2 linked regions of the Tribolium castaneum genome follow. The protein of the gene in region 1 purifies or fractionates together with the protein of each later gene. This does not show direct contact. Links are inferred from orthologs where the notes say so. Each region holds a gene or a part of one and is shown in the gene's direction. Other genes may lie near its edges.

What was found.
Region 2: the proteins of ics (region 1) and Ilk purify together in Homo sapiens (affinity purification with mass spectrometry; 9 studies listed by BioGRID and IntAct, counting the BioPlex papers as one, with this or other methods). This does not show direct contact. The link is inferred for Tribolium castaneum from reciprocal best matches to the Homo sapiens genes RSU1 and ILK.

What each region holds. Positions count from the first base shown.
Region 1 is NC_087397.1:10,352,160-10,362,737, reverse strand, and holds ics (ras suppressor protein 1), read left to right. Parts: upstream 1-5,718; 5' UTR 5,719-5,791; coding exon 5,792-5,939; intron 5,940-6,154; coding exon 6,155-6,205; intron 6,206-6,254; coding exon 6,255-6,494; intron 6,495-6,539; coding exon 6,540-6,622; intron 6,623-6,677; coding exon 6,678-6,925; intron 6,926-6,970; coding exon 6,971-7,055; 3' UTR 7,056-7,239; downstream 7,240-10,578. Other genes in the region: bifunctional purine biosynthesis protein ATIC, read right to left, coding at 960-1,296, 1,348-1,623, 1,674-1,890, 1,946-1,967; UPF0389 protein CG9231, read right to left, coding at 2,957-3,149, 3,314-3,519; uncharacterized protein LOC103315046, read left to right, coding at 4,146-4,250, 4,311-4,982; Nemp (nuclear envelope integral membrane protein), read right to left, coding at 7,249-7,378, 8,089-8,250, 8,338-8,527, 8,572-8,722, 8,769-8,935, 8,983-9,190, 9,239-9,360, 9,409-9,472; tubulin epsilon chain, read left to right, coding at 9,695-9,719, 9,766-9,974, 10,014-10,318, 10,360-10,578. UniProt on the Homo sapiens protein: Potentially plays a role in the Ras signal transduction pathway. Capable of suppressing v-Ras transformation in vitro.
Region 2 is NC_087394.1:5,462,581-5,474,031, forward strand, and holds the start of Ilk (integrin-linked protein kinase), read left to right. Parts: upstream 1-4,852; 5' UTR 4,853-5,105; coding exon 5,106-5,194; coding exon of another isoform or gene 5,195-5,198; exon of another isoform or gene 5,199-5,212; intron 5,213-5,318; coding exon 5,319-5,484; intron 5,485-8,254; coding exon 8,255-8,423; intron 8,424-9,828; coding exon 9,829-10,430; intron 10,431-11,451. Other genes in the region: trc (serine/threonine-protein kinase tricornered), read left to right, coding at 3,440-3,555. UniProt on the Homo sapiens protein: Scaffold protein which mediates protein-protein interactions during a range of cellular events including focal adhesion assembly, cell adhesion and cell migration.

The sequences.
Region 1 (10,578 bases):
TGTTTTTAGTGTTCATTAGAATGCCTTTCTAACTTCTTACATGTCTCTAAAGTTTTTTTAATCGGTTCAGGAATTATTGTTAAAATAAATATAAAAAAATCAATTTTGACACCTTCAGTTTTAAAAATTAATAAAAAATAGAAACGGTGCTCTTTTCTTAGTACGTGTGCCTTGAATAAGGTCTAACAGACTTATTGATCAAGTATATTAATCAATAAATATTAATTAATCAAATTACTAATTTGATTCCAAAGATAAGTTAAGTAAAATTTAATAAAATTATAATCATTACTTGCGCAATCGTTACAAAAATAATTTTATGACTAACTGACAATTAAAATTTGTATTCTTCGGCTGTAGAGTAAAAATGTTCCTTTTGCATCTACTTATAAGTATTAAATTTTTATTTTATTACCAATTTACAAATTCGTAAAACGAATAAGAAGCCGTCGTTTACTATAAAAGGAAAGAATATTAAGAAAATGTAACAAAACATTCAGTATTTCTTTTAATTATGAGGGTTTTGGAGATTGAAGTTTTTTGTGAAATACCAAAACGAAAAGTCCATCATGGTACGATCAGGTCAGGTCATAGAAATGTGACAAAGACTGTAGCAATGAATTTGAAAAATCTCTCTCAATCTTTATCAATTTATCTTAATAAATGCGTCGGCGGATAAAATAGTACTAGGTAAAAGTTGAAATAAATGTTCGCAGCTTTACCACAAAAAGTATCACTTTTTCTCCTTATAACATAATCTATTATTATTATTATTATTAAATTTTAAGACAGTTAAATATTAGCGAAAGCATTGATTAAAAAATCCAAATTAAAATAGCGAATGCTATTTTAATAATTTTCAATTATGGAAATGATTAAGCAACCACATTTAGTGATAAGAAATGACCTCCCCCTTATCACTATTGACCAACCACGATTGCGTCAAATCGGTCACTTACCTGAGTGCTATCTAGAGGAACAGCCACAGCCGCTCCCGCTGGCGATACGTGTTTAAAACTCGTAGCTGCCGGGAGCCCCAAACCCGCCTTAAGTTCCTTAACCAACTGCCATCCATTGAGGGCATCACACAAGTTAATAAAACCGGGGGCTCCGTTCACTACTGTTAACGGTAGTTTGGATAAAGTAGTAAAAATTTGCGCCGGTTTTTGGTGCGGATTCATGCCATAACGCAACGTAAGTTGCGAAACTCCGGCCGAATACTGTTTTCTGAAATAGTCTGTAATGGCTAGGTCATAGTCTGAGGTGTGTGTGAAGGCCTTAAGAGCCAGAGTTTGACTAAAATGTGAAAATTAGTCTCGGGTTGGTTTATTTTCGGTGATTGGTTACCGAGTCTGAGCTGTGGTGTCTTTATTGGGGGTGCTACGCATTTCTGTGATGATTTTATCGTAGTCTGAAGGGTCACAGACTACGGTGACTCTTGAGTGGTTTTTGGCGGCGGCTCTGAGCAGAGTAACGCCGCCAATGTCGATGTTTTCAACAGCATCGGCGATTGTAACATTTGGGTTTGAAACTGTTTCAACGAATGGATACAAGTTACAAACCACGACTCGGATCATATCGATTTTTTGTCTCTTCAAATCCTCCTGATCTGAGGGGATAAGTCTGAAGAACAATTGATTAATTTTAAGAGTTGGGGTTATGGGGTAAAATACCTAGCTAAAATCCCTCCGTGCACTGCCGGATGCAGCGTCTTCACCCTTCCTCCCAGTATCTCAGGAGCTCCAGAAATCTCTGAGACATCCTTAACAGCGAGCCCCGCCTCCCTGAGACTCTTCGCAGTACCACCACTTGCCACAAGGGTAAAACCCAAATCTTTAAGGTTTTTCCCGAGGGATATGAGACCGGTTTTGTTGGAAACCGACAAAAGAGCTAGAATTGGGAGCATTTGAGGTGTAAGGTTAGAGCAAACACGTGGTTAACTTACCCAAATTACCACCTGTTGCCATCTCTGAAAAACAAGACTGGATTACACTGCCTAGTAATACGAAGTGGAAGAGTTATTGGGAAATAAGTGCTTTTTAAATCCACTGGGGGGCTATTATTGATTAATAAAGGTCACGGCAGTTTATCAATGAAAAACATGTTTGCTGCGTTTCGATTATCAAAGATGACGAAAAGATGTCTTGTAATATTCTAATAGATAAGGAGTGAGAACAGAGGGGTACGTACCTTAAAATACACGCAAATAAGCTGGAGGGAACAAGACGAACAAAAGAAGAGAAAGACGAAGGAATAAGTGGTACCCACGTGGTACCGGTGAACTTAATTGTTTAAATTGGTCGCTAAATGTGGATGTTTACAGCTGATTTAAGGCGGGGAGAAAGAGAACAGCAAATAAAGTTATTCCGTATAATTTAACAATGAATTTTATTTAAAAACGAAGTTGGAAAGTTGCCCTAATTTGTGGAATTTTCATATATCTACAAAAATTAACTGGTCTATCATCAAATAATATTGGTTTTATAAAAAGTCGTTACTAATGATAATGAGTAATCAGTTCCCTATCTAGAGCTGCAGAAAGATAAAATATTTATATTGAAAATTCCATATGGTCTCGTTGAGAATATTAAACTCAAGTCTGTGAGATAATACTAAAACAACAAAATTAAACTTGCGGCTCGATAAATATCGGTTTTTAGTTTCTGTCCTCTATTTACATATTAATGACGAAGAAACAGTCTATTAAGAGTATTTCAGTACAGGGACCTGTACTATTGGTAAACTTCATGGTCAAAATGCTTTACATCTTCTCTAAGTTATTAGCCATTAAAGTGTAAATTGTTTATGTACAATTGATGCACTGAGGAAAAGTTTGCAACCACTTTTATTGGCTTAAAATGAATATAACAATACTCTATTTATTCCATAGCCATATTTTACAAGAGGCATTTAAATATCATAAATCCTAGTCTAAATATGTACAATCACAAAAAGTCTACTGTTCCTTCTTGGTATCCTCATTAAAACGGCGATGCCATTCGATATTTTGTTGGGCGACACTTTCACCCCTTTGTGCTGCTTGTTTGCCCAAATAAACCATACCAAGACACGCTAAAGCTGTTGCAGCCATCATGTAATTGGCGATCCTGATACGCATTCTATTCCTAGCCCGTTCCACAACATTTTGCCTAAAAAATAACAATAACTAGCCTTTTTTAAGGTAGGTACCAACAGGGTACTACTAGAGCGACTCTAGTGCCATCTGAAGACACATTTGGTAACTAATTTAAGTAATGTGATTATTGCAATATTGCAGACGTTATCAAGCACTTTAACTCGTGATTAAACTTACGCTACATAAGCAGGCACTTCCTCAACAGTCTTGTATTTACCAGTCCATACTAAAAATTTCTTTTCCAAATTGTTAACCCTGTGACCTGTACCAGCATATTTTGAGGAGTCTGAGTGTTCTTTTCTCACACCGTAAACATTATTATTTTGGGAACTTAACAATATATGTTGAGTCTTTATTAATAAAGTGTTGAGTATTGAATTCATCCTGTAAAGTCGCAAAAATGTGTTATTCAACTTGGCTTACATAACACTATTTACAAACCTTTAATTTGTGAAATCTCATGCACTGAGGAACACTTGTAGCAAAAAATCTGATCGGAATAAACACTTCGACCCCTGACAGTGTCAAAATTGTCAAAAATGACGCACTAAACGTGTGCTCATGATCGAAGCGCACTTTGCAAAATTTCAAATGAATTGTAATTCGAGGACAAGCATTTATAAGCGGTTTGGTTGTGTATACGTGCAAAAGTAAGCATAGGTGTGCTCCTGTTTCTCTGCACGTTTCCTCTGCTGCGGTTCATTACTTCACAAAATGAGGTCAAGGCAAAACCGTTTACTTACCATGTTGAACTTTTTGAAAGTGGCGCTTTAAGGGCGCTAGCTGATTGGCCGCTTATTGCACCACCTTTTGCAAACAAATGAAAGCGCGCGTGCGCGGCCATTTTGCGCTTTATCGTTGTTATCGGCGTTTCTCCGATTCCAAAATTGCCAAAAAAATCACAAAATAGACGAGTTTTTAGGTGTGAGTCGTTGGTAAAAGCAAAAAGGCGTTCGTGAGTGAATTTGAGACAGTTTTCTTGGTGGGAAAACAACGCATTTGGGTCAAGATGGTTTCAAACGCTAAACGTATGAAATACGTTTCGGAAAACGACTATTCCTCGTCAGATGGGGAAAATGTTGACGATGGGGACTTTTCTCAACACAACAGAAGAGTAAGTCCAACGCGTTTACGCAAAATTGGGCGTGGGAGTAATGAATTTTTGGGTTTCCAGATGGGTGGGCGTAGGACCAAGGGGCTGTCACGGAACGCGATAATGGCCCGCGAAAATCGCCTTAAAAAGAAAATCTACATCACAAATCTTGAAAAAGAAGTTGGGCATTTGAAAACCGAGAATGCTAATTATTCCAAAGTGATTGAAAGTCAGTCGTTGCTTATCGCTGATTTAAAGAAAGAAATCAAATACTTGAAAAGTGTGATTGCAAATAGTGCAGATATTGGCAATTTGATAAAAAATATCCACCACAGTACAGGTATGTCAGTCACAACATCCTTGGATCAGAGTTTATCTTTGAATGTTTCAAAGCCAAAGCAAGCTATAGCTAGAAAAACAGCACACCCATGGGAGGAAAAACGTTACCCGAGTTTTCCCACACCTGAATCAGATTTTCTCTCAAGTCCACACTCTGAAAGTGGATTGAATGATTTTACTGACGATCTGTTCAATAATATTGAACTTGATGATTTTATGGGGGTCACTGATACGATTCTAGACCCTGTTTCGAATGAAACGAGTGAGGAGAACTTGCATTTAAAAGAGCACAATTATACTACGAATGAAGACGAAGACGATGTTGGAGTATGTTTACACGTTTCAAGACACAAGGTCTCGCTAGAGTTTTGCGCCACCTGCAGCGAAAACGCCCAACAAGCCTGGAACGACTGAATTAATTTAAAATGTCTGTATCTAAGTATACTTTGTTGTCTATGTATAGTCAAACTCTTTCCTTGCACTTAGGATTAAATGTTATTGTTACTAGCTAGTTTTGTGGAATTCTGGAGTATTATTGTTTTTTTAAATTTTCAGGACCTTCACGGATTGGAGATTGTAGCTTCAGAAGGATTTGCAGTCCACCTTCTGAAACAAAAGGTGCGGTAGCGTCCAATTTTGGTAAATCCCAACTTCTGAGCATTTTTATTATTAGTGAGGAATCAGAATTTGGGATTGTCATTTGTTTTTGTTGAATTGTTATTTTCACGCTTTGGTCTGATTTCAGTCAAAGACGCAGTCAAGTCACTTCAGGGCTGTAACAATGACTGGAATAAGTAGAGTAACAAATGTATCGTTCCATGTTATCATATACACAATATTTCGTTCTAGAAATCGTATATTTTTTCTATTTGTTCAACTTCTACTAAACAAGTATGTTTTTGAGTTTCAGCACATAGCGCAGAGTCCAGGGCCGGGCCGCATTCCGGATTATTATAAGTTTTTTTATTTAATATTAGGTAATAGGTAGGTAGTGTAAGGAAAGGGTCAAATAAACTTTTGTATTTATGTTCCAACTGTCTTTATTCTACTTCCTTCCATTAATTAGCACAAACGTGTTTGTTAATCCAATTAGCTCACTGCACGTAACAAAAACTTGGCAAGTGTCCAGTCAGACCACTGGCAAGTGAAAAAGTTCACTTCGAGCGTGGCTTTCAACGTGGTCAGTTGCTTTTTAAATTTGACGGGCTTTTCGTGCGCGCGCAATGAATCAAGCACCAGTTTCGTGCCTTCCAAACACAAGCAAAATGTCTAAGGCTAAAAAGGTTTTAGACGAAGCTCGGGAAATAAGAAATCTCGAAATTGATTTGGCCGATAAGGCCATTTCTTCGTTCGAAGAAACACCAGGTTTACGTAAGTGGAATCACTCCTCGGCAAGGTTTTACCTAATTTGGTATCTTGTTCCACCTGGGTGGGCGTGGCCCAAAATTAACTAACATTCCCAAGAAAAATAAATAAATAATAATACAATTTTTTATCTCTAATAATGGGGAATAAGTTTTACTACATAGATAATAAGATAAATAGAATTATTAATAGAACACGGAACTGATTGATTTATTTTTTAGTTAATATGACTTACATTACCAGGCTTACGCTAAGCCACAACAAGATCAAATGTAAGTGGGTGCTTCCGCCCTTGGGCCGTAAACTAAAAACCCTTTTTAGCCGTACCGCCGGCTCTTGCAAACTTGACGAACCTCGAAATTTTGAACTTAACAAACAACCACATTGAGGAACTCCCCCTTTCTTTATCATCAATGCCAAAGTTACGAATTCTCAACTTGGCAATCAATCGTCTTTATAATCTTCCTCGCGGCTTTGGCGCCTTTCCAGTTCTTGAAGTTCTCGATCTGACTTACAACAATTTGAACGAAAAATCACTCCCAGGAAATTTCTTCATGATGGGTAATTTACAATTGGTTCCCTCCAAATGATTAATTTTTGATCTAGAAACGTTACGAGCCCTGTATTTGGGCGACAACGACTTTGAGTACCTACCTCCCGAGGTGAAAAATCTCAAAAACTTGCAGATTGTAAGCAAATATTTGACGTTATGTTATTTGAGGTGGGAATAACGGGGTGTTTCAGTTGGTTTTGAGGGAAAACGATTTGATTGAGTTACCAAGAGAGTTGGGGGAGCTGACGAGACTGCGTGAGCTCCATGTGCAAGGAAATCGCCTCACGATACTGCCCCCTGAACTCGGGAATCTCGACATGACGTCGAATAAGTCTGTTTTTAGGTTTGAAGGCAATGAATGGGTGGCTCCTATCGCGGATCAGTTGCAACTAGGAGTCGGGCATTTGATGGAATATTTGCGCTCAGAGGCTTACAGAATGTACGTTTTATAAAACTTTAATTTAGTTTAACGTTTGTTTTTCAGAACGTACAATCGCTACTCGACTAATAAACCACAAGTTCCACCACCTTGCGTCGACAAAGCGAAAAAAATATCGCGAATACGTTGAACTCGTGCCTTTTTTTACCTAATTAATTGACTAATTAACTAAAACGAAAAATACTGCCATTATACTAATTACGTTTTTTTTTATTTGATTTTTGTGGCCTTGGATGTACCAGCTTTAAGTAAAAATTAATTGTATTTTACAGTTTTTACAATAATGCAAATAAGTAAATAAATAATTAACGAAATTGTCAGTCTTAAAAACACTGCTCATCCTCCGTATATTCACTCTCATCGTCCGTTAAATCCGTCGTGTGGATCGACGTTTCGTACTCTAGAATTTCCTCATCACTCAAATGCGAATTGCCTTCCATAAACGACGCAAATCTGAAAAAAAACTTAGATGGCGCCACTTGTGCTAACTTGACCATAGACAGTAACCTATAGAACTCCTACGTATTTTTTGGAAACGCACGGAAAAAAAACGAAATTAAAAAAATTCTCTGTTGACTAATAGTCACAAATAATAAATTCATTAGATTATGAGAATTTGCAGCGTGCAAAGTTGTTATAAAATATCCTGGACATTTTGTGGAGTGGATTAAAAAGACGGGTAACAAGCTGTTATCAACTTTTTCTTAATCAGAAAGTGTATAAATAGCTACGCTGTCTGTTGACTTCATTTTACCAGCGTTGGGCAAAAGTGTGGACCCAAGCGTTTTTGCTTAAATTATGTGCCTTTCGAAAAAAAAAAAAACATCAAGTACTTTAAAAATGTGACCATTTTCTAAGAATAATTTTTTTTGAAATCCTCTCTAGTTTATCAAAAAAAAATCGCCGTACTAGGGTACCTTCCATTGTGGCACGAATGGTTTTGGAGCACGACGGAGTTGCACAAAAGTTCTCTTTGTGATACTACTTTCAGTTTCATTATGAACAATTTGTGAAACCTAAATTAGGTACTTTTAAATAAAATAAATAAAAAGCCAGGATATCTAGTTGGCTGCGTCTTATTTTTCACCTACCACAAAAGGGCACAAAAATCTATGAGACTAAGCGTTCTATAGTTTACCCTCTTGTCTAAGAACTTGACCCACCTTTTGACATCTTTCAATTTCATAGCAACTTGCCACTGCTTACACTCAGGACTTGAGCAATATTTCCTCAAATCCTCCAACGCTTTCGTTGTTTCCCTAACTCCCTGCTCGTAATACTCGTCGTTAGTTAGTGGTTTAATTTTCGGCGGAAATCGTTTTTTCCTTGAAAAATACGAAACATAACAATGAAACAATTAGCTCACAACTTACGTTTTTTATACAACAAATTTTGAAAACAAAAATTCTTACCAGTATGTTTTCGGTTTTAAAAGCCACGTTGATGGCACGTTGTGGAAGAGTAAAAGGGCAACGATTTGACCCATTGCCGCCTCCTGGAATTGGGTGCTGAAAAAAATTGCAATAAGACCAGCCCCTTGCAGGGCCCATCGGATCAAATTGCGGCTTCTCTCGTTCTCTATGGGGCCCCATCTGTAGCAAACTAACCACAAAATAATTTCAGGTGCAAAAAATACAGTAACGTACTTATGAAACTGATAAAACCAGTTATTAGAGTGTACCACACAACGTAGGATTTGTAATTTAGTAAAATGACACGGACGTTGTCCCACAAAAGTTGCAAAAGGTAGATTCCGACCGTCCATCCAAACGCAGCCACTCCGTACATTATTGGTTTCTGAAATTTGACTTGGAACAGAAAAAATTAAAATTTAGAATATTACCCTCGGGAAAAGTCTGCTAATTAAATAAATGAGAATCAGGAACGAAGTACAAATTCCGAGTGAAATGCCACAAATGTAATAAAACAGGGTGTTTCTGCTCAGTCTGTTTGCTGTAAGAAAGAGGGAAATGCCCCCCAGTAGAAGAAGCACTTTCCAGTAATCTATTCCTACGGAAAAAATTAGATTTTGTTACAAACACTTTGTCCGTCCTTACTGATTACATTTAGGGTCACTGTGTAGCTCTCCCTGCTGTCTATTCCAATACAGCTCTCATTGAATGGGTCCAAATGCATTTGCTTCTGCTTATTTGTAAATAAATTTAAATTCCAACTGTACCTATTGGCATTGAATTCTTCCATAACGGCATCAGGGGACGGACCGTCATATTGAGTATAATCACCGGATTTATGATCCAACTGGAGCTGTACAAAACTTTAGACTAACTTATACCACAAACCTGTTTTTTGTACCATAACACTTTGCCAAATGTGTATCAAATACTTGGGCTTGCCCGCGTAGCAAAAAATATGAAACTCTGGGGGCATCCTTTGCACCCCAGCTGAGAACTTCTCCCCCTGATGCAAGTAATGAACTAAAAATTACAAAACGTTAAGACATAACCTACAACTTGTGCACATACCATTGAAGGCCCGACCCGCGGAAGCGGCCGTGAGAACCAAAAAGACTAAAGTAATAAAGTGCATTTTACGTATAAATTTGAAAATTCGTGAACTACAATGAAATAATTTTGTATTTTGAGTTTCCGTTACATTTTTTGTTTGACAGTTTCTAAGAAGTTAGCAACCCGTCAAACTCCAACAAGGTGGGAAGATGCGTCTTGGGTGTGCTAGAGAGAAGTGGCGGTTTTTGGCGCGCTTGGTTCAAATTTGAATAAAGTGAGGTTATGAGCCGTTCGTAAAAAATTAATGAGTGAATTCATCGTGATACAAGGTAAGCCACTTGTGAGACTAATTTGTGGTTCAATTGTCACGTCCAGTCGGGCAATGTGGCAACCAAATCGGCAGTTTTCTCCTCCCGGAAATCCTCCAAGAGTATGGGGTCAAGACAACGACCGACTCCCCAGCCAAACCCAAACGAAACAAAGCGGAATTGCAGCAGTTCATGTCGAGTTTCTTCAACATGGGTCCAACGAACACAACAATTGAGACATTGAGCGACTTGTTGAAAAGTAAAGCCAAAGCGAGAGTGAGTTGTTGTCTCGAATTGTCTTCAATCTCATGTTAGTTTTTATGTATCGACATGGAGGACAGTGTGGTTGCCAGGTTCAAGTCGGGGCGATTTCGCGACTTATTCGACAGCAAATCTCTGATAACGCATTATCCCGGTTCTGGGAACAACTGGGCTGAAGGCTACTGCAGTCACGGCCCCAAATTCAAGCAAAAAATCCTCAAGGCGATCCAATACAACGTCGAGAAATGTGACCATTTGCACGGGTTTTTGGTTTTATTTTCAATGGGGGGTGGCACGGGCTCGGGGCTGGGGACTTTCATTGTGAAACTGCTTGCAGATTTCTTTCCACACATCGACCGGTAAGTGATAAAAAATCAAATTTTTATTGACCAAAAATTAGGTTCGTAGCGTGTGTGTACCCCACAGGCACTGAAGACGTGATTACGGGCCCCTATAACATGGCTTTCGCCACGGAACAACTGCTGGAAAGTGCCACTTGTGTGTTTCCCGTTGAAAATCGGGCACTTCTGGACATTGCTTTAAGACACACGGGGCGGTACAGTGCTAAAAATAAAACGTATTTCTCTCCATTTAGGCCGTTTGAAGACATGAACAAGAT
Region 2 (11,451 bases), on another chromosome or scaffold:
GTTTTACGTAATATGTTAGCTTATTTTGTTTAACCAAAAATGCAATCAATTCATAAATTTTCTTCAAAAATAAAACGAAAGTGTTTAAAAATTACTAAAATAAGCCGTTGTTAAGCTACTAATTTTTTCAAGAGTTAGGGTAAGTTTTTAACTTACAACTCTTCTTTTTCTTCGAGATTTTGTTAAATCATCTTATTGTTATTAGATTATTATATCAAATGTTACTTTTTTGACAAGTGTTTTAGGAAATTTTTAGTTAGAATAGCAATTTGGCTTAAATAAACAGTCGGTTATTTTTGTTGTAACTCGTTTTTTACTCTGACACTTAATTATTTTGGGAAATATCGTAAGAAGTTTTTCCAAAAACCACCGAATTGGGTCGAAAACATCATTAACTTAATTTTTTTGGGCGTTTTATCACTTTGTTTTTAATTCAAAACCACTACTATTTTACAATATTTGATAACAATTAATCCAGAAATCACAAAATTTGGTCGAAAATAGTTTAACTGCACTGAAAAAATAAACACTAAATTGTCGATAATTTTTTAACATAACCAGAAAGGCAATTTTGTCGAAAATAAACGGAAAAATTGCAAGATTTTACCAGAGCGAACTGAAAAATCACTAAACTGGTTCGAAATTTACATTATTTTGCAGTTTTACGTAATTTCTTTAACCAAAAATGCAATCAATTCACAAAGTTTCTTCAAAAATAAAACGAAAGTGTTTAAAAATTTCTAAAATAAGCCGTTGTTAACCTACTAATTTTTTCAAGAGTTAGGGTAAGTTTTTAACTTACAACTCTTCTTTTTCTTCGAGATTTTGTTAAATCATCTTATTGTTATTAGATTATTATATCAAATGTTACTTTTTTGACAACGTTTTCAAGTGTTTTAGGAAATTTTTAGTTAGAATAGCAATTTGGCTTAAATAAACAGTCGGTTATTTTTGTTGTAACTCGTTTTTTACTCTGACACTTAATTATTTTGGGAAATATCGTAAGAAGTTTTCTCAAAAACCACCGAATTTGGTCGAAAACATCATTAAACTTTTTTTTTTGGGCGTTTTATCACTTTGTTTTTAATTCAAAACCACCACTATTTTACAATATTTGATAATAATTAACCCAGAAATCACAAAATTTGGACGAAAATAGTTTAACTGAACTGAAAAAAAAAACACTAAATTGTCGATAATTTGTTAACATAACCAGAAAGGCAATTTTGTCGAAAATAAACGGAAAAATTGCAAAATTTTACCAAAGCGAATTGAAAAATCACTAAACTGGTTCGAAATTTACATTATTTTGCAGTTTTCCGTAATATTTTGTTTATTTTGTTTAATCAAAAATGCAATCAATTCACAAATTTTCTTCAAAAATAAAACAAAAGTGTTTAAGAATTTCTAAAATAAGCCGTTGTTAAGCTACTAATTTTTTCAAGAGTTAAGGTAAGTTTTTAACTTACAACTCTTTTTTTTCTTCGAGGTTTTGTTAAATCATATTATTATTATTAGATTATTATATCAAATGTTATTCTTTTGACAACGTTTTCAAGTGTTTTAGTAAATTTTTAGTTAGAATAGCAATTTGGCTTAAATAAACAGTCGGTTATTTTTGTTGTAACTCGTTTTTTACTCTGACACTTAATTATTTTGGAAAATATCGTAAGAAGTTTTCCCAAAAACCACTGAATTGAGTCGAAAACATCATTAACTTAATTTTTTTGGGTTTTTTATCACTTTATTTTTAATTCCAAACAACCACTATTTTACAATATTTGATAATAATTAATCCAGAAATCACAAAATTTGGTCGAAAATAGTTTAACTGCACTGAAAAAATAAACACTAAATTGTCGATAATTTTTTAACATAACCAGAAAGGCAATTTTGTCGAAAATAAACGGAAAAATTGCAAGATTTTACCAAAGCGAACTGAAAAATCACTAAACTGGTTCGAAATTTACATTATTTTGCAGTTTTACGTAATTTGTTTAACCAAAAATGCAATCAATTCACAAATTTTCTTCAAAAATAAAACGAAAGTGTTTAAAAATTTCTAAAATATGCCGTTGTTAAGCTACTAATTTTTTCAAGAGTTAAGGTAAGTTTTTAACTTACAACTCTTTTTTTCTTCGAGATTTTGTTAAATCATATTATTATTATTAGATTATTATATCAAATGTTACTCTTTTGACAATGTTTTCAAGTGTTTTAGGAAATTTTTAGCTAGAATAGCAATTATTTAGCGAAATTGCGTTAAGCATAACCCGAAAAAACACGAATTATTGTTTGCATTTTTCGGCCCTTTCTATAACCATCTATTACATAACGAAAACTTGCTAAGCCCGATTGCAAAATTACAAAAATGATTTTATTTTTTTGTCTTGTAGCCCCTGTTTAGATAAACACTTTAATTATTTCAAGAAATACCGTCAAATTTTTTTTTTCAAAATTATCCAATTAGATCGAAAATGGTTTAACTTTTGCCGTTTGCAAAAAAAACCACTACATTGGTTTCAAAATTTCGTTATTTTTTTTCTTTTTCAAGCATTTCAACGCATTTTTCAACTGTTTTTGGTATTTTTTTTTGAAAGAAATAATGATGTACTGCAGTGAAAATTTGTGAAACCCAGTTATTATTATTATTAAAACAATAAACAATTATTAAATTGTATAGAAATTGACATTATTGTGTAGTTTTTTATTATTAAGAAACAGAATTCGAGGTTTTCATTTCATTATAACACTTAATTAATTATTTCGGAAATATCGTAAAAATAAAATTTACAGTTTTTTTTTGACTGTTTAAACTTGTTTAAACTCTAATTTTGTGCGTTTTTCGATAGATCGAACTAAAAAACTATCTAGTTTTTCATATGTTTGAGCACATAATGTAAATTGAGCATTTTTTCCCACCATTTACGTATGTTTTTGAAATAAAAAATGATGAAGTTTTGCGAAATTATTGTGTCAATCCCGGTTATGAAATCGTCATAATTCGATATTGATATTAATGTTAACACGTTTTATTTATCTAAAAAATGCAAAATTTTGTCAAAAATAACTCAAAATATTTTTTGAAACTTTACAAACTCAAGCCTTTTAGTCACGGAATATTGTGATGAAATTTTTGCTTTTTTTATAATAAGGTAGGTAAGTCTCGGAAGTATTGTTGAATAGAATATTATTTTTTACCTTTTTCAAACGTTTTAGCGTTTTTTCATTCACAGATTAAAAAGTCACCTCTGGCGTAGAACGCGAATTATTTTTTTGCATATTGTGTTCAGTTTAGTAAAAATTCATCTGTTAACCAGGTTTTTTAAAATAAAAAATAAAAAAATAAATAAAAAATTAAAATAAAAGAATAAAAACAGTAAGAGTACAATTTTTTGTAATTTTTTTATTGTGTTTGTTTTAACATTTTTATTTCCAGCTTCTGCGCCTATGCCTCAGGACGGTGAGGTCAACTACAAAGACTGGGTGTTCATCAACTACACGTTCAAGCGGTTCGAAGGTCTGACGCAAAGAGGGACCCCAACAAAAAAATAAACCGCACTTTTATGTGCGCCAACAAATCGGCAGTTAATCGCGCTATAACGAGCACTTATTTTTAGGAAATATCGTGAAAAATCACACCAGAGTGCTTCGATTATGATTTTCTCGTCTTTTCAATAACTGTACCTATCCCGTAGTTATTTTCTAAAAATAAGTAACTTTGTGTATTATAGGTCTGAAGCAGTTTTCACACTGTTTGCTTTGAGCTGTGAGAAGCTACGTATCTTTTGTTGTATTTACACTGATATCTCGTTAACTTGTGTTATTGTAAATATTACGAAAATGACGAATTGTTAGTACAAAATTGTTGCGAAACTACTGCCAATTATTTATGTGATGATGTGTTGCTTCGAGGGCGGGCGGTCCGAGGGATATTTTTGTACCTAATGATTTTTTCCCTATCATTTTAAATACAACAGAAGATTTTTGTGTATATGTTATTTTTTGTTTATTGTTACAAAGTGATACGTTTATTATTTACTTGTTTTTTTATTTATAGACAATGTATTTCTTGATCGCGCGTCAAGAACTATTTTGTATAACTCGTGAAGGACATGAACTAATTACACTTTTTACACCTTCATGATTCTGTCAGTGAGATCATATTTTTGCAATTTTTTATTTCAAGACGAACGAGCGTAGTCTAGTAGGCGGGTTTAGTAATTTTCGTTTAGAGTGACCTGCGACGTTTGACAGGCAGTACCGCCAACTGTGTTTCAAGGTTCATGGCCACTCTGATCATTTTATTAGTTGTTTTGTTCCAAAGAAGCACATATGAACAATTGTTTTTCACTAACCAATTAGATTTTGTGGAAGTGTATGTGTAGTTTTGCAAACATATCGAGCAGTTTTTTGGCTGTTAAACAGTCTGGTGTGTATGTGAGGCAGTTGGTAGACTTGGAAATTTTATAGAAAGTATTAATGTTAAGCTTGTAGCTCTCTATGCACCTTTTTTTTCAAATTCGTTTAACTGGTGCAAATTAGCTAGATTATTTGTCTGATTTGTTATTTATTACATTGGTCTCGCTAACAGGACTTGTACATAATATATTTACTTCCAAAAATGTGTATAACAAAGTTTATTAAACTATGTGCTTTAACCCGTGTTTGGAACTCCCGCCGGCGTGTTGCCAACCTTTGGTAACTTCCCATTCCTTTTATGGTAAATTTTTAATTAATTTGGGGGCCCAATCTAACTAATTGTTACCTAACGGAGCGGGGGACAGTTTTTAGGACGTTACGTTTGATTTAAAATCCTTTAAAACAATTAAAAAATCAACTTTTTTATCCGTTTGGGGAATTTCAAGCGGCACGGTTGGCAACACGTCCAAATATGGCCGTCTGTTGTGTAAAAAAGTGTTTAGTTTTCCTCACCTAATTACCAAAAAAATCCTTATCTTATCAAAGTAATGCGGTAAATAGCTTCCGGATAAGCGACTGAACGCACTCATTATAAATAAAAACCAATTCTCGCGTTTTAAACACCACCCAAGTGAACGCCCATTTGCTGGTACAAGTGCCCCACTTTTGGGCAAATTGCCGAAATGGAGGATATTTTCCAGTGGTGCAGGGACGGGAATGCCCTCCAGGTGCGGGTTTGGCTCGATGACACCGAGCACGACATGAACCAGGGGTGAGTTGTGTCTTTGAGGTTAGTTTAATGGCATTGCCTAATTTGGTCAGTGGTGTGGCCGTGTTGTGTAATAATTGGGTGTGTGTGGGTTTGTTTGGTTTTTACTGATTGGTGATTGTCTTAGGGATGACCATGGGTTCAGTCCGCTGCACTGGGCGGCGAAAAGGGGGCACACGAAGATTGTGGAGATGCTCTTGCTCAGGGGGGCGAGGGTCAATGCCACCAATCGGGGGGACGATACGCCCTTGCATCTGGCGGCTGCACATGGGCACAGGGAGATTGTGCTTATGGTTGGTATTTTATTAATTTATTAATATAAGAGTAATAATAAGTCTGAAGACTTACAAGGTTGTCACTTTATCGTTTGACTTTTTACTAAAAAGAGTTGGAAAAAATTATCATCGTCACGGTTAGGAAAATTAAAAATTATTCCTCAACCATTTTTAGGAATTTTTTTTTATGTGCTTTTATAGAATGTGGGTTTTAACCTACTTTTTTTCAAGCGAATACACTATAAAAGTACAACAAATTGAGACGTAATCCGAGTACACGTTTCTCATTAGAAAGCAGTATTTTTTTATGTATCTAACAACTCAGAATGAGAAGGAAACCAAGGAAAAAGTGAAAAAATTATTGGCAAAAAATAAGAACAATCATTTGCTGAAGTTGAGCTTGCAAAAAATAAACAAAATACTTTAATTTTTTTGTTGTTTCTTCTAAATTAAACTATTATTAGCTCGCAATTTATTTAATAGTTATCTTATGTTAACAATAAACTGGTTAAAAAAATTTGTATTTTTTTTACTGAAAGTACTTAAACCTTCAAATAACATGCAAAATAAAATAACAGAAACCTTCTATTCCTATTAAATAAACAAGTCATCAATTTTTTGATTTATGTGTGATTATTTTTTAATCAATTGTACCTACCAAAAAAATAAAGAAATAAAAAGATAAATTAGTAAGTTGTGTAAAGTTATTTTGCAATTACTGATTTTTAGTTTTAAGTAGCGTTGTTTGTTTTATAGTAATGTTTAATGTGTTATTGAAGGTCCTAATAATTTTTCTCAATGATACTAAATTAGAATTTACAGTTGTCGCTCAATAAAAAATGCCTTTTACTACCTCTCCATATAAATACAATCTTTGATACTGAATTCATAAAACAATAATAAAAATAATAAATAAATTAAAATATGTAATTACTGATAAGTACATCGTTTTACAACTCATTAATTATTTAATAATAATAATAATAATATTATTATTTAATAATAAATGGTATCGATTTTATAGATGTTAACTTGTTTTCTTGAAAAACTTGTAGCAGAAAAATCATTTAAATTCGGATTGTAGAAATTTTGGGATTTTTAGAAAATTATAAAAAACAAAAACACTACGTGGAAGTGACAATAAATGTTTTTTACGAAAGTGTTTTTGGCTCTAAAATAAATCATTTTATTATTATCCGAAAACTTTTGATTAAAAATTATGAAGCTTCGTCTCTCTTAATTTTAAATGAGTTATTCTAGATATGTACTTACTTATGATCATAATCAACAAAAGTGATGAAAAAATTTTTCGATTATAATAAATTAAATGTTGAAATCAGCTGTTCCAGTTCTATTTTTTTATTTTTAATAAAATAATTTAATTACATTTTTCTGAACTTCTCATAATTCGTCATTTTAAAAATGTTTATTATGTTGATCGATTTTGTCAACTTTTTGAATAAAACGCCAATTGTCCATTTAATAAATCTAGTCTGATAATGGACAAATGTTGGGAGCTATTTATTTTTATTTGTTTTTTTTTATTTTAATTTTAATTATCTGAAAATTCTCGTGTAGATTGAAATACTCAGCACTTTTCCTAAAATACTGTTAACAAGATATAAACAAGGTCGGAAAAAATAGTCGACTACCGACTCAGGCACAATAATATCTTAAAAAAAAATTGGAAAATTAATTTTATGTAATACTTGAAACCTAGCATTTTTTGTTTAAAAGCCAATGTGTAGTGGTAATCCTCTTAAAAAAACAGCAATTTACGATGAAATCAACATTAGTTTTTTTACAAAGAATGTTTTAAAGAAACAATTTGCATCTATTGTTTAAATTGTTTATTTCATTCTATGCACCATAATATACAGAAAATAGTGTACTTTAATCAGGAATTCCACTCCAAATCATAAACATTTAGCTATTTGTATATCTATTACTAGTCAAGTCAAGCTATATTTCAAAACTACTATTTTTTTTGTTTTCCCATGACTTTGTTTAACTTGGAATCAAATTTATTTTCGTCATGGACATACTTTAAAAAAAATATGTTTATAAACATACTTGAAATTTTCTTAAATTGTATTTGACAATTTTTTTTACTAGTTCGGTCTATTTCTTTCGTACTGCGAGTGACGTTTTTTGTTTTTATCTTTTGGAGCGCATTTTTTTCACTAAACAATGAACAAATTTTTTTACATTAGGAGTGAAATAAATGGTAATTTAAAGGATTTTAAAAGAAAAAAAAATGAATATAAATATTTTCATTGTTATTTTTTTATTATTAAATAATAAATAAATAAAAAAAATTATTTATTTTTTTATTAAATTATTTTTTGATTCAGGCAATGTTGATCTCAAACTTCGAACTTGTAACTCTTAATTTATGCAGGATAATTTTTTAAAAGAAGGCACTTATTTATCTTAGAAAATAATGGAATTTGAAAATTTCGACAGAGGTCGATTTTGACTTTTTTTACTGGGCAGTTTTCTAAAACTAATTAGACTAGTTTTAAAACGCATATGTGGTAAATAAAAACAGTTTCCAACACTTTCAGCAAACTTAATGCTTTCACTATTTCAAATATTTTCATCTAAAAAAAGATTCTAATTGTCTAACGTTGACCTTCCAAATAAATTTTATAAATTTTTTAATTTGTAGAGCTGTTCTTCCATTTTTGGAGAACTTATGCTAAAACTGTGACTTAATAATGTTTAATAAAAACCAATTAAATCTTAAAATATCATCTTAATTTCTAAACAACTCATTTTTTTATAGTTATTACGTCAAAGAGCTGACGTAAATTTCACAAACGAACACGGCAACACTCCTTTACACTACGCCTGTTTTTGGGGATACAGAGAAATTGCCGAAGATTTGGTCCATCATGACGCCAAAGTCTCTCTTGCTAACAAATATGGAGACACTCCACTTGACAAAGCAAGAGGTAAATTGAACTCTTACTCAACAAAACAAAATAATTTTTCGACGACTTCATTTTTTTCTAATCGTACAAAAAATTTGCACATTTGTAATATATTTTTAGTTGTGGAAGTTAGTCACTGTCTTCAACCACCTATGGAAAAAACTTTCTCTATTTAGAATTTAATATTATTAGAAAAATTACAGTGTTCAACTCGTGAGAATTTTGCGACTCGAGCCGAAGGCGAGTGAAGTAATGCATCCGTGCCATGTGATATATATATTATATATCAGGGATGCGTAATCGGTCTATAATTTTTTTGTTATGCGAAATATTATCATGCCGTTTTTCCTATTCGACTTAAAGTCCACAAACTGAAAATATTTTTATTGTACACAGGTGTTGTATACAGGGTGGTGAACTAAAGTTATATGTTTTTAAATGGAACACTCTATATATCTTTGCATGATTAGATTCTACGCAAGAAAATAATCTAACTTTATACAAACTATTATGGGTCTATCTCTTTTCGTTTCGAAATTATTCAACTTTTCGTTATCAAAAAGACCAATTTTTGAAAAATCGCTGCAAAGTCGCCTGTGAATGTTTTTCGGCAAATTTGCAACAGAAAAATTCTGAATACCTTGTAGTTTTAGGAAATAGTCGACTTTTACTTGAAACACGGAAATAATGTACAGAGTATGCCAAAACGCAAAAAGTTGAATAACTAATTTTTTTTAATGGAACACCATGTATTTCTTTACATGTGTCGATTACATTTTTCATAAGCTTTCTATTGATATACGGTTTTTATAGCAAATTTACAATATTTCCTAAAGTGTTCAAAAAAATAAAAAATATTTTTTTTATTTATTTTATTAATAATTCTTAATGAGTGAAATTTATTTATGTATCAGGTAATAATTAGATTACTTGTGTAATTAGTCACATTAGTACATGTCAAAAAATTAATTACTATTTGACTATCAAAGTTTAGGCTAACAAATTTTCTTGTAATAAAATATATTTTTTTGAACAGTTTCGAAAAATATTTTAAATTTGCTATGCAAACCCTATACCGTTAGAAAGCTTATCAAAAATGCTTTCGATACATTTAATAAAATACAGGATGTTCCATTTGAAAAAAATGAGTTATTTAACTTCTTGCATTTTGGTACAACCTGTATATTATCTGCGTGCTTTAACTAAAAGTTGTCTATTTACTAAAACTACAAGGTATTCTGAATTTTTCTGTTGCAAATTTATCGGAAAATATTCATAAGCGACTTCGCAGTGATTTTTCAAAAATTGGTCTTTTTTATAACTCATAAATATCTCCTACTTTTACGGAATATTTAAATTTGATTGTAACGAAGTCGTCGAAAAAACCATGTGTACAAATATCTATTTTTTTATGTAATAATCACAGGCAATTTGGCGAAAATCCTCCACGACATGGCGGTCGAATCCGGGCAAGACCTCAAAAAGATCATCTTCAAAGACCAAAGTTGGCTGGGCCTGAAAACCCGCTCACGTGACGCCACCCTCTCCCGTCACAAAGGCATCAACATTAAAGAATTACACCAACGTGAAGAAATCGCCTCAACACCCAGTGGCGTAACATACAGAGGAACATGGCAGAAAAATGACGTTGTTGCTAAAATCTTAAACATTCGCGAGGTTACATCGCGAATATCGCGCGATTTTAACGAAGAATTTCCGAAATTGCGAATTTTCTCGCACCCTAATATCCTCCCAGTGATTGGTTGTTGCAACAGTCCGCCATATTTGATCGTCATCAGTCAATATATGCCACTCGGATCGCTTTACAATGTTTTGCACGAAAGCAGCGGAATTGTGGTTGATAATGCGCAAGCGTTGCGATTTGCTGTTGATATTGCACGAGGCATGGCCTACTTGCATAGTCTTGAGCGTATTATTCCAGAATATCGTCTGAATAGTCGTCACGTGATCATTGAGGATGATTTGACGGCGAGAATCAACATGGCCGATGCTAAATTCTCCTTCCAGGTAGGCTTGCTAGATCTATTTTTGATAGCAATTTAATGGAAGAATTTTTTAAACTGAAGTTTTATTTCTTACAAATTTATTGGCGCAATCGGTAGTAACTTTATACGTTTTAACTTCGTGTAATTACAATGAAAAAGTAGAAAGGCAGGACCTTTTCAAAATAATACTCATAAATAGTAATAAACTTGTGTAATTTGAAGAAGTTGAAGTAAATCGTAATTTTTCATTAATTTAAAGCTGAAACTCCTTTGATCCTCTTTTAATTCAAGATATCATAATAACAAATTTTTTCTACAGCCGTCAAAAAATCGTGACATTTATGCATGGTTACCTATGCGCGAAGTTTGACGTTTTTTCACTGTGAAAAAATATTATTTTTTCACGGTTTCACAGTGAAAAAATAATATTTTTTAACTGTGCAGGCAACTCGATTTTTCAGATCATTTTGTTCCAACTTATTTCTGTTACAATTTTAGTAACACGAAAAGACATCAACAGCAACCGAAATGAAGAGACGGATCGATAATGAGAGGTAGTTTTAAAGGTTTTATAATTATACAGAACAATATTACAAAACAATAATAATAGATATTTACTTTGACATATGAAAATTAAATGTGCATGACGAAAACGTGCCCCCGTTTATCCTTTCAACATCGCATAAAGGGCCCAGAGTGTTGGTGGCTTTAAGGTGGTAGACTTTTCTTCCAAATACGCCAACAAAACATTTTCCGTTACTTGATCAATCTTTTTCATAGAACACCACTGCCGAAACTGAAGATACGTTTTTTCGTACTGCGGTCTTGATTTAGCAGGCAAAAGATTCGACACTGCCGCGCTTGCAATTGCATCTATTTCGTTTTCGCTGCTAAAATCCATCACACTTCTTCAACAAAAATACCTATTGTGACAAATTTTTCGCAACTATCACTTTTATTTATCATCGTAACCATGCAAGCAACTCGATTTATCAGACCATTTTGTTCCAACTAATTTCTGTTACTTTTTTCTTCATCTGGAG